2 linked regions of the Neodiprion lecontei genome follow. The main gene of each other region encodes a partner of the protein of the gene in region 2 in a complex. Links are inferred from orthologs where the notes say so. Each region holds a gene or a part of one and is shown on either strand. Other genes may lie near its edges. The genes, in order: Golgi resident protein GCP60 and phosphatidylinositol 4-kinase beta.

Region 1 (5,957 bases), on a different chromosome or scaffold from region 2:
TACGTATCAAGTTTCTTTTTCGGACGTTCGTTGATGCCGTGGCAGCAATTATACACTTAATAAAATAAGATGCATGTTGTACACGCCATATGTTATAATATACTGCGTATAGACGATGTACTATTACCGTTTTTGCGTAGAAAAAAAACAAAGAAAAAAAACGAAAAAAATTTAAAAAATGTAATCAGTATAGTATTATATGCACGCACGCTCACACACATACATATACACGTATATATATATATATATATATATATATATATATATATATATATATATATATATATATATATATATATATATATATATATATATATATATATATATATATATATGTATGTGAGTATTATCATTTAAAAACTATACCTGGGATAATTCTATACGTCAACGTCAGAATATTAATTATCAGATATGAATAGTAATAATTAAATTTCATCTAATTATAGTTGTGCCATAAATAATAATTGCTGCACTAGTCTGCGAAGTGAAAAAAAAAAGAAAAAAGAAAAGAAAAACAAAACAAAAGATAAAACAAATGAAAAAAAATTTTTATTCAATTTCTTCGTAAATATAATAAATATATATGCATATGTATCTTTTTTCTGAATTTCTTGCATGTCTTGTCTTGTTTTTTTCTTTTTAGAGGCTAGACAGTACGTGAAATATAGACGTATATTTATATATATATATTTTTGTCGTTTTGTTTTGTTTAGACTAGCGTACAGACAGTCGTTTCAGGCTAGTGTGTTGAATAGCTATGCGACGTACTTAAGTAGTTCATTATATATCATAATACTAATTATTTGTAAAACCCGGTCGCGTGTAATAAACTCTGTAATATAGAGTTTTGCTGCGCCAAAGCGAATAGGAATTGTCAAATTTCAAGAGGTAGACACCCTGTGAAAATAGAAAAAAAAAAACAAGTCAACACGATTTTTCGTGGGATTTTACGTTTACAGGTGATTATTACGAAAAGAAATTTCAAGAAAATGATTATTTGTATCACTTGCGAAAAAATAAACTTCAATTTACACAATATAATCATTGAACTATGCTTACTTGTCCCGGATATTGGTGACTACCGGCATAAACCTCTTCCTGTGAATCTCGCCTATAGACCTGAAGAGTAAAAGTGAACGAAATCAGCTTAATAGCTATGAAATTTTCGGTTTGCTATCTCATTGCCAAATTCTAGTGAAAGTAAGCGCATCTAACAATTGAAAGAGGCTATTCTTGTTCCTTCTTTGGAAATAGCTGTCCAAACGGGACTAACATGCATTTACCTCGTTAGCCAAAGATTGCATTACACTGTTATTTGAAATTGGCTATCGTAGTAATAAAATATTTAGTAAGGCAGGGAATTAAGTTAGCTAATTGATCGTTACTAATTCAAATGTCGATGTTAACATGTGTGCTCTAAAAATAAAATCGACCTTGTAGATCAACTACTCACCAGCTGTTCTAACTGATTAGCAAATTGTCTACCGTTCTGATGATTGTTGATGTACAGATTGTGAATTAAACATATACTTGACATATCTCAACTTTTATTTCTTTTCACTCGCCGTGAAAGCTAGTGTCAAACCTTTTGTGGTTCGTTGCTAAGTATTGGCAAAGACGTAAATAGCAGAAATAGTAGTCAAACGAAAATGCAAACTCACAGGTACAATAACACTGATCGGCGGTGTGATCGGTTTACTGAATTCAGACTTTGGGATTCCGTTCATTGCTCCATTCTCCAGGTCCTCCCTGGGCTCGTACTCCTCTTCCTCTTCCTCTTCATCCTCAGATTCGCTGATGTGGACGGAGACCTGGTTGGTCTCCGGTTTGGACCATTCAAAGTAAACCCCAAACCCTATGTCGTACCCGTCGGTGGCAAACTCCCAAAATAGACAGGAACCATCCTCGTGGGTTGGAACTCTAACAGTGACGGTTTCTCCGTGTCCAACTTTGATGACAGCGTCGCCAGCCTCCTTGCGAATGATCTCTTTGAACTCTTCTACTCCGGTTCTAGTCCACATTTCAGCCGCGGACACGGGTGGCCAGTCCGGCTCTGCGTCATCCGAATCATTCTCATTCAGTGGCGTAGTTTCATTTGAATCGGCAGCGTTCTTCTCGCTCTCACTGCTCAGGATTTCCGCCAGCTTCTCTTTCTTCTCGGTGTCCGAGCCCTGATCCTCTATCACCAGCTGATTCTGATGTAGCTGCTGCATGTACTGGTGGTAGTGCTGCTCCTGCAGTTGCCTTATCAACACGCCTTGCTGCTCCGGGTTTCCGGGGTACTGCTGCTCCGCATAGGCCTTGAATTGGTGGTAGGTTTGCTGATTCAACGCCTCCTGTATCTGCCGTCTCTGACTCTCCTGCTTTAGCCTCTCCTCCTCTTCCATCTGCTGCTGCTTCTCAAGCTCCCTGAGCTGCTCTTCCTTCTCCAGCCTCTTCAATTCCTCCTCTTTTTTCAGTCTAGCCTTCTCCTCCAGATCTCTTTTCTGCGCCTCGACCACGGTCTTGAACAACGGGCACAGCTTGTCGAGCAATACAATGAAACCCTCCATCGCTTCCTCTTTCGATATGTCCCCAAGGTTTTGCCAAGCCAAACGACGGTCCCGACCTATCATATCTAATACTCCCAAGGGAGGCGCGTTTTCTACTGTACATTTTCCATGCATCACTTGTTGCGTAAATGCGACCAACTTCAACTTGTCCTCGTAAGACAAGTGAACGGCTTTACCTTCCTTTTCTGAAAATGTGAATAATCGTGTTCGTAAGTCAGATTCAACGTTGCAAACAGGGACGTTTAGTACTTAGAACGGAGTGAGAATACGTGCATTGAAAATATAGGATACTTGCGTGTTTTGGCATTAGTGTTATATGAACGAGGAGTCGAAGTAGCGACGAAGTTGAAGAATCAATTGACACAAAACTCAAAGGTGACATTACCAAAGCAAATCTGCGATTTATTAAGCGCTAAAAGATCGACGTCACTGTGGCAGAGTCGAAACACCAAAGCATAAACACACAATGGGAGCTATGCAAATTGGTATTGAATAGCAATCGAGGAGGCGAGCTTTGTGCGTTGTTCAAAAGAAAAACGTACCGCCAAGGACAGCAGGGTAAAGAAGTGCGGGGAAAACAAACAAGACAGTAAGTGAATAAGACGCAAATAAATGTCCAGGGAATTGATTGCCGAGGTATAAACAAGGTCGGCTATCAAGAATTCCGTTGAATATTTGAAGCTTCGATCCAGCGAGCTGGCCATGAGCCCGATCGAGCTGTCAGACGAGATATACGTAGAAGAGAAAAAAAAAGAAGCATGCATAGGAGATGATGCAGAGAGACGCCTCACCTTTGTAGAAGTTTAAGGCAATCTTGTAGAGTTCGCGGGTCTCGAAGCCCCAGAGATGGGGTTCGAAGACTTTCGCATCGTTCCGGGAATTCGTACCGTCGGCTGTTCTCACCGGCGACAACTTCAGCTTGTCAAAATCTCCTACTGCAGCGGATACGTCATCGCCTGGCGACGCCATTTGCAATTAACCCTGCGGCCTGCCGCCGCTGTTGCTTTCTCGACACGTCGATGCGTCCCGAATCCGACTCCGTGAATTTCTGATTTTTTACACCCGTCGAGTATTCCTCTAAGCCGCCTGGGACAGGTGGGCAACAATTAACACTTCGCGCAATAGTCACACGCTCCTCATCACTAACCCGCTTCGGGAACAGTGTGTTTCTGACGACTCCGATATGCGCGATAAATATTGCGCGAAGAACACGCTGGCCTTGAGAGTTGGCCGAACTGATTGAGCCGTCGTTGCACTGTTGGTAAGGCTGCACGGTCGGCAAGGTAACGCGCTGGTCTTACCAGTCGCCGAAAAATTAGTGCGACAAGTTGGGGCGATGTAAGATGTAACGAAGAACCAGGGTTTATTCTCATAATTTAATGTGCGCAAAAAAAAAAAATAGCGGGAGTTAAAATGATTTATAAAATTTTTCAGCAGCTGTGGATCTTGCTGCTTACTTACGTTTCTTTCTTTCTAATTCCATTTACACGTTGTCGACAACGTAAAATGCACTTTCATTTACGTAGGGTCAACACACAACATCAACGATGTACACTGTAGGATTTCGTGGATTATTTTGAGGATAAGAGATGGAGTTGAATTTTCTAGGCAGGCCATACTTCCTGCGGTGATTAACCGATCCTTGGCGAAATCGAACGATGATTTGAACGTTTGAAATTCGAACGCGATACTTGGTATTTTTGTTAATTAGTATATTTATAAGCATCAATTATTGCTGCGGCAAGAGTGAGGGGAAAATAAAAGGAATACTAATTTTTCTTCCGAGATATACGGCAGTGATTCATTAAAATTTCCGTGTCGTATGTATTGATTTATAATTCAAGTCCTCGATAAGATCAATTTTCTGTTGAAAATCTAATTTTCTACTTGGAAAGAATGGTGCAAAAAATAAAAACAACAGAAAACGCGATAGTTATTATAAATATACCTTCAGCCGGACAGTTATTTTCAGGCGTAATCATATCTCACATCGCACATAGTCCGAGAACATAAAACTTTCAAAATCAATGCACCTTTGTGAAGAAGAATGGAAATCCTGTTTTTTTCATTTTTTTTCACACAGGAAAATAACATTAACTTTTATGTAATATAGATATGGCGAGTTAATTCTTGAAAAAAAAGGAAGAAAATAGAAAAAAGCTGAAACGAAAAAAAAAAATTCTTATCACTACCTTTTGATAAGCAAAGATTACGACCATATGTCACCCGTGTGCTTGATGAAAATCATTTTAAGTATCATATATACCTATATGTCTGAACTACCAGAAGCTCTAGTGATTTAATAAAATTAGTTACTTTGTAATGAAACAGATATGTCGAAAATTAATTACATTCTTGTTCAACAATATTATACCCTGCAGTGTGATCTCAGACGACAAACGTATCACACTGTTAATATTAAACATAATAAGAAGAAAAAAAGAAACTCTGGGAAAAAAACTTTCTTAAAAATACACAGGCACGAGTATCTATCGTATTGCGCGTACCGGTTAAATGTACTTGAGCTGAGATTGAAATTCGTGCTACGACCGAAGATGATAATTTTTCAGAGATATAATAGGCATGCGGAAATGAATTTATCAAAATCGATGCATTATTAAGTACAGATATCGGTTCTAATATTAGTTTATCGAAGCTTAGTGGTGGGCGGGAGTCTGTTTGGGAACACTCGTAGCCTAAGCCCAGATACTTCAGTTCAAGGGTCTATTGTCATTAAAAAATTATATTTCCCTCATGCATCATTTTGAATGATCTCCGATTGATTATACAGAGCTACGAGCAGTGACCGATCGATTCTTTCGTGGCACCCCCACCCATGCCGGCGGAAATCTTTCCAATTTCCACCTCTATCTCGGCAACGTGATTCCCCAGAAATCAGGAGTCCCGAAATCGTGAATAAACCAAAGATCTCTGAGATATTTTTAAAATATTTACATTTACATTCAATACGATCCGTAAAAAATACACTCTACAAAAATTCACAGCAATGTTACGTGAAATGAATTTTATTAAAATAAGATAATAGTAAAAAAATGTACGAAGCGAATCGATTCACGCAACGATAACAGCTGAGTATACTTTTAAATTTCGCTCATTCTCTCCATTCCACGCAGACACATTTATGCTTTGATTATGAACTATTTATCTTGGAATAAATATAAACTTTCGGGTTTCAGTTTGCGCATAAATTCGGAACGAATCGGGTATAGAAGGCGCTAAAGACCCTCGTGATTTTTCGGTACACAAGTGCACGCGTCCCTGTGTGTTATAATATATAGGTAGTGCAGTAGTCAAAGCATAATCTATATGGGGTGTTATCAAAAAGATAAGGTTACCAGAGCTCCTATCTGGTAGCCATATTTTCGATATAATATATAGGTAATC
Region 2 (4,853 bases):
TCATTAAGAAACTATTACGAAGCACAATTCTCTGAAAACTTTATTCCTTCAAAAAATTTTTTCCTTTTCGCTATCTCGCACCTATCCATCTAGCTCTTCTCTTTATGCAGAAAACATTTACAGAGTTGTTTGTTTATCTGGTTACCATAAACAATGTTCAATGAAGATGCTAATGAAATCGCGTTACTACCATTTATTTTAATTAAAACTTCTTTCCAATCATGAATACGTATGCGTTAAATTATAAGTAAAATAACACCGTTTCTCTAATAGAGAGATAAGAACGAAAAAAAGCTATTTTTGATACAGACCGTTTTAAGACCGGTTAAACGTAATCAACAAACAGTGACTCACCCAAGTAGCTCTGCACTCCAGGCTCCTTGGAATTGAAGAGATAAGAAATGGCCATAGACATGTCAAATACTTGGCTCTCAAATAACCTCAGCAAGCATCCTTTAGAAGATTTTGGTTGGGCCAAAGTCTCTTGCCTACAGACTTCAAGCTGTCTCTTGGTCAGTTTAGTCTCTGGTTGACCTGTGCCGCAGCACAAAGTGATCGCAGCATCAGCCAGATCATTTTGCAAAGCGTTGACATGGAGGGTATGTCTACATACAACTTGACCACTATCATTGTTTTTCATAGAGTCTTTGGAGGAACAATCACCGCAGCATAATTCTTTGGAAGTAAAATCTCCCTGCCGGCGGTCTCTAACATCTTTGGAGTTCAAATTTTTGGGTTCACTGTCGTCAAAACTGTCCGCAACATCGTCGTCCTCCTCCTCTTCCCGACCGTTACAAACTTCTTTAGTTAAACAAACACTAGGCACTAGTTCGACACAAGAATTTGACACAGCACTCATATCCCCATCCACAACGTCGACACTGTCCAAATCACCAGCTTGCGAACGTGCAGAGTCCAAACTCTCTCTACTGTGCAAATGTTCCACGCTGGATTCCCTCGTTGTCGCATTAGCCGTATCGCTGGCACCGCTTTCCGAACCGCACAAAATACCAGAGTCGTCAGATCCAAGACTTGCAAGGTCTTCGCGTTCTCTGTTGTGCCCCTTTATCGACGGAACGACGATCGCCGACGGAGTAGGATTTGCCTCGCATTCGGGACTCGGAGTTACGTCGACTTCTGGAATTCTTTGAAGAGCCGAATCCAGGCTACGATTTCTGTGATGCATCGTTAGTGTAGCCGATGTGGCCTGAGGTACCGGCGGCAAAAGGATTCCCATAGATCTATATTAAAAGAGAAAATGAAAACATATAGGTTTCGTCATGCCGACAACCAAACTTCGCTGAAAAACGAAAAAGCACAAATTTTACCTGAAGTCGAGGCTGAGGTTCCTTTGATGCGTACTGAGTCTGTTTCGCACGCTAATCGGTGGGTTAGGCCTGCCGTGCACGGGAGGAACATTGTAACCGGTTAATTTTTGCCTCTTGACATGAGCCACAGTCTCCAGGCGGGTCAAACCACCGTTGGATCCAGTTACAGCAGCTATTTCGCTCATGCTAACATATGACGAGCAACGGCTCAGCCAACAGTCATCTAAAGCTCATTTTGCCACTATACCTAGGAAAATAAAGCACAGTTGTTACAAAACTGTCTACAGAATTTTCTCAGGTATGTCGTCAGTGTCGTTATCCGCCCTTTGATTTCTGTTTTTAAACTCGACAACATTCGAGGCGATAATTTTTCAATTGCTTCAGAAATAATACTTTCAATTGAAATTCTGTTATATTACTATGCTAAGTTCCCTTCATCGTTGTGTATCAATGTTATACAATTGACACGATAAAAAATAGAAATATTTGTTAATTAAGTTTATCAATAATCACATTAGTTTGGTTAGTTAAGAAAAATCACTTGTGCTTCGATAATAATTTAATACAAATGTTATTCTTAATTAACCGATTATTTTTTAACCATCCTGGGTAATAATTGATGGTGGAAAAATTCTCAGGCCACACCTAATGTCATATATTACAAATGTTTTACGAACGTAAGAGTTCCACTGAACTAAAGATCAAAGAATTCGTAACGCTGAAAAACACGATTTGACATTTGTGAACACATACTGGATACATAAAACAGCCACAAATGATTTACAAACTAGCGAGAGTCAAAAGAAACCCGAATGATCGGGAAAACGAATTTTAGGTTCAAAATCAATCATAAACACCAAATAAGTGTTTAACGGGCATTTGAGACATTGTTTTTAATTTTACTCCGTATTGCAGATATGCTCTAACGTTGAAGAACGCGGTAGTGGTAAATCGCGTAGGAAAAATGAGAGAGAGAGAGAGAGAGAGAGAGGGAGAGAGATAGTCGAAAGATAGTTGTGCGACCATTTGGACGATATACAAATAATCCGGTATATTTACGGACTGCTAGAAAGGATCAAGAAACGAAATTTAACGTTTGGCTGACAAGTGTAGAATGTGAAAGTAACGAGGATACTGGACTAAATCTAGGCTACACGGCATTCCTTGCGTGGTGTTTCGCCTCGGTCTTCCAACATCCCGAAGGCAATGGGTGTGCCGGTGTTGACAATTAAATTCCACCCTACGGAGGTCAGGCAGGCAAGCGAAGGGTTTGGCGTCCCTTGGCAATGCCGTAGTACGCGTAAACCGTAGTATAATACACATACATGCACGGTATACACGTACGCGCGTGCATGCGTACGTGTATGTATACTACGGAGGTATAAAATGCCTACCTTGTTTATCGAAAGCAAGGTTGTCCGTCAATCAGGAGAGCATCATCATCCGGAGCGTAGTGATAAAATGCGAAGAGAATGTGTATCCGAACGGAGTAAGAAAGAAATAAAAACCGATATCAAACCCACTCGCTGGAAACACAGATACACAAAAACGAAAACGAGACAAGATACGACCGCTGGCGCGATCCTTCCTTTCCAATGGCTGTCTGTCACTACCGTGTTGAATTCACGAACCTATCCCGTGAAAACTCTCGGTAAAAACGATCGACGATACGTGGACGAATACTCGACTATAAATATTAATACGACACTCCTTATCACTGTCTAACGACAATCGCACTACGAACAATTTACAACGAATACAGGACTAAAAAAAAAAAAACAGTGGTAAAATGACGCAGAGAGGAACGAGTTATGCCAACGCGAAAGGCAAGGCGACACACATTCGACTGCCTCTACGTCGGATCCACACACCTCGACGCACGGGTGCCAACTGAACGGGAGCGCAAAGTCCGGGCGGCGGTGTTGTCGGTTCGCGTTAAACCCAGATAACGTCGGAATGCGAAAACGCCACGAGCGTTTCACGAGGCTGGCTTGGGGAGCGCGTGCACTTTGATTGTCATCATTACCGAATAATCGTCCCCGCGTTTCCTTTTATCCGTCAGATTTCTACGAGGCGATTTGTTTCGCGTCTGGCGCCTCTTCGCCTCTGCTAACCGCGGCGTGGTTCGTTTGTTTTATGCCGCATACGCGTCAGCGTCACTGCGTAGAATTTTCGTCGCAGGTCCGCGTTACGTTGGTAGTAAGGAAAACCCACCGCGCTGGGTGTTTGGATGGGAAAGGTCATACAACCGCGAGTGCAGCTGCACCGAGCGAGAGAACAGCGCGATTGCCGCTGTGAAGTTTCGCCTCTCTTCGTCTCACTTTATTTTCTTCGAGTACCTATTTTGCTTTATTTTCAGCGATGAATCGCGGCTCTTAGTTTTCGGTACTCTTTTGTCAAGCGGTTTTCTCAGGATCGCGATCGTGTAGACAACGAAACGAAAAGAATGAAAAAAACGAAACTGGCAATTGACAATAATGTAATTTTTTTTTTTTATTTCTTTTTAAACCAACGACGCGATACGAATCGAGTATATCGGACACAGTTAGCTCGGTTGATTTTATCTCGGCTCGATATCCGTACGATACGCTGTAATACGACGCAAAATCTACGACGTGTGTGCTTCGCCGCTGTATAACTATATAATCTGTACCTATATGTATATATACAATCATCTTTGCGTATCTCTTGCGGTTGCTTCCAGAGATCTCCATCCGCCGAAATGTAAATTGATATTGTACGAATTAAAACAGCTCTTTTCTCCCACCGAGTGTAATTGTTATTATTATTGTTATTTTCAAAGATCCTTGACTCGAGATTTTTTTTCTTGTTTTTTTTTTTTACTCTTTCATTCGAGTTGTAAGACCCCCCCCCTCCCTCTGACACCGACACGTTTACCCACAAAATAATATGCGAGAATATGTGGAAGAAGACGAAGAAGATGGCAGCTGAATACAATATCGTGCGAGTTTATAGCTGCGTGTATTACAATAACGTCGTGGCGATGATTACCGGGCAATCCTGCCTTCTCTGCCCATACTTCCTGTAATTTCATACGCTTTCTACCTACCTGCTTCCACGGGTAGAGAGAGAAAGACAGCTCGAGAGAGAATATGTTAAAGCGCTTCACCCCGAGCAGCAATGGCTACAAGTAAACATTCTGTAATGTTCTGTACAATGGCTTATATACTCAAAAGCAATAGACACGGCTACCCGTTGTAACATGTAACATCGTAATCGCAATGTCACCGACAATGCCGTGCAACGATAAGGATCTGAAAACTAGACGCGACGGGATAAAAAGTGATCAATTCGAATCGAATCTTCCACTTTAATTACACTCCCCCTTACTTCGTTACTTAGGCATGAATTTAATACTATCCATATTCGAAAGTACGCTGCTACGAATGCCTAACTATTAGTTTCAAAAACGTTTCGAGAATTTTCTATCTTTCGGTTATAACGTCGAACGTTCATACATAACTAATAATCTATAGATAATTCTCAAAGAAGTTGAACCAATTG

What was found.
Region 1: the proteins of phosphatidylinositol 4-kinase beta (region 2) and Golgi resident protein GCP60 are in contact, whole or in part, in an NMR structure (PDB 2N73), measured with the Homo sapiens proteins. The link is inferred for Neodiprion lecontei from reciprocal best matches to the Homo sapiens genes PI4KB and ACBD3. Residues at the interface, in NP_001317650.1 of Homo sapiens: Val37, Gly38, Val42, Ile43, Asp44, Pro45, Val47, Ala48, Gln49, Lys50, Ala51, Cys52, Glu54, Val55, Leu56, Val59, Lys60, His63; in NP_073572.2 of Homo sapiens: Gln245, Ile246, Ala249, Leu250, Gln253, Thr254, Gln257, Phe258, Tyr261, Gln265, Tyr266, Leu276, Leu280, Gln283, His284, Gln287, Tyr288, Gln291, Leu292, Val295.

Annotation. Positions count from the first base shown.
Region 1 is NC_060265.1:28,507,935-28,513,891, forward strand, and holds Golgi resident protein GCP60, read right to left. Parts: upstream 3,755-5,957; 5' UTR 3,522-3,754; coding exon 3,344-3,521; intron 2,738-3,343; coding exon 1,662-2,737; intron 1,120-1,661; coding exon 1,060-1,119; intron 898-1,059; coding exon 796-897; 3' UTR 528-795; downstream 1-527. UniProt on the Homo sapiens protein: Involved in the maintenance of Golgi structure by interacting with giantin, affecting protein transport between the endoplasmic reticulum and Golgi. Involved in hormone-induced steroid biosynthesis in testicular Leydig cells.
Region 2 is NC_060260.1:3,883,069-3,887,921, forward strand, and holds the start of phosphatidylinositol 4-kinase beta, read right to left. Parts: upstream 3,211-4,853; 5' UTR 2,723-3,210; intron 1,576-2,722; 5' UTR 1,514-1,575; coding exon 1,329-1,513; intron 1,242-1,328; coding exon 355-1,241; intron 1-354. UniProt on the Homo sapiens protein: Phosphorylates phosphatidylinositol (PI) in the first committed step in the production of the second messenger inositol-1,4,5,-trisphosphate (PIP). May regulate Golgi disintegration/reorganization during mitosis, possibly via its phosphorylation.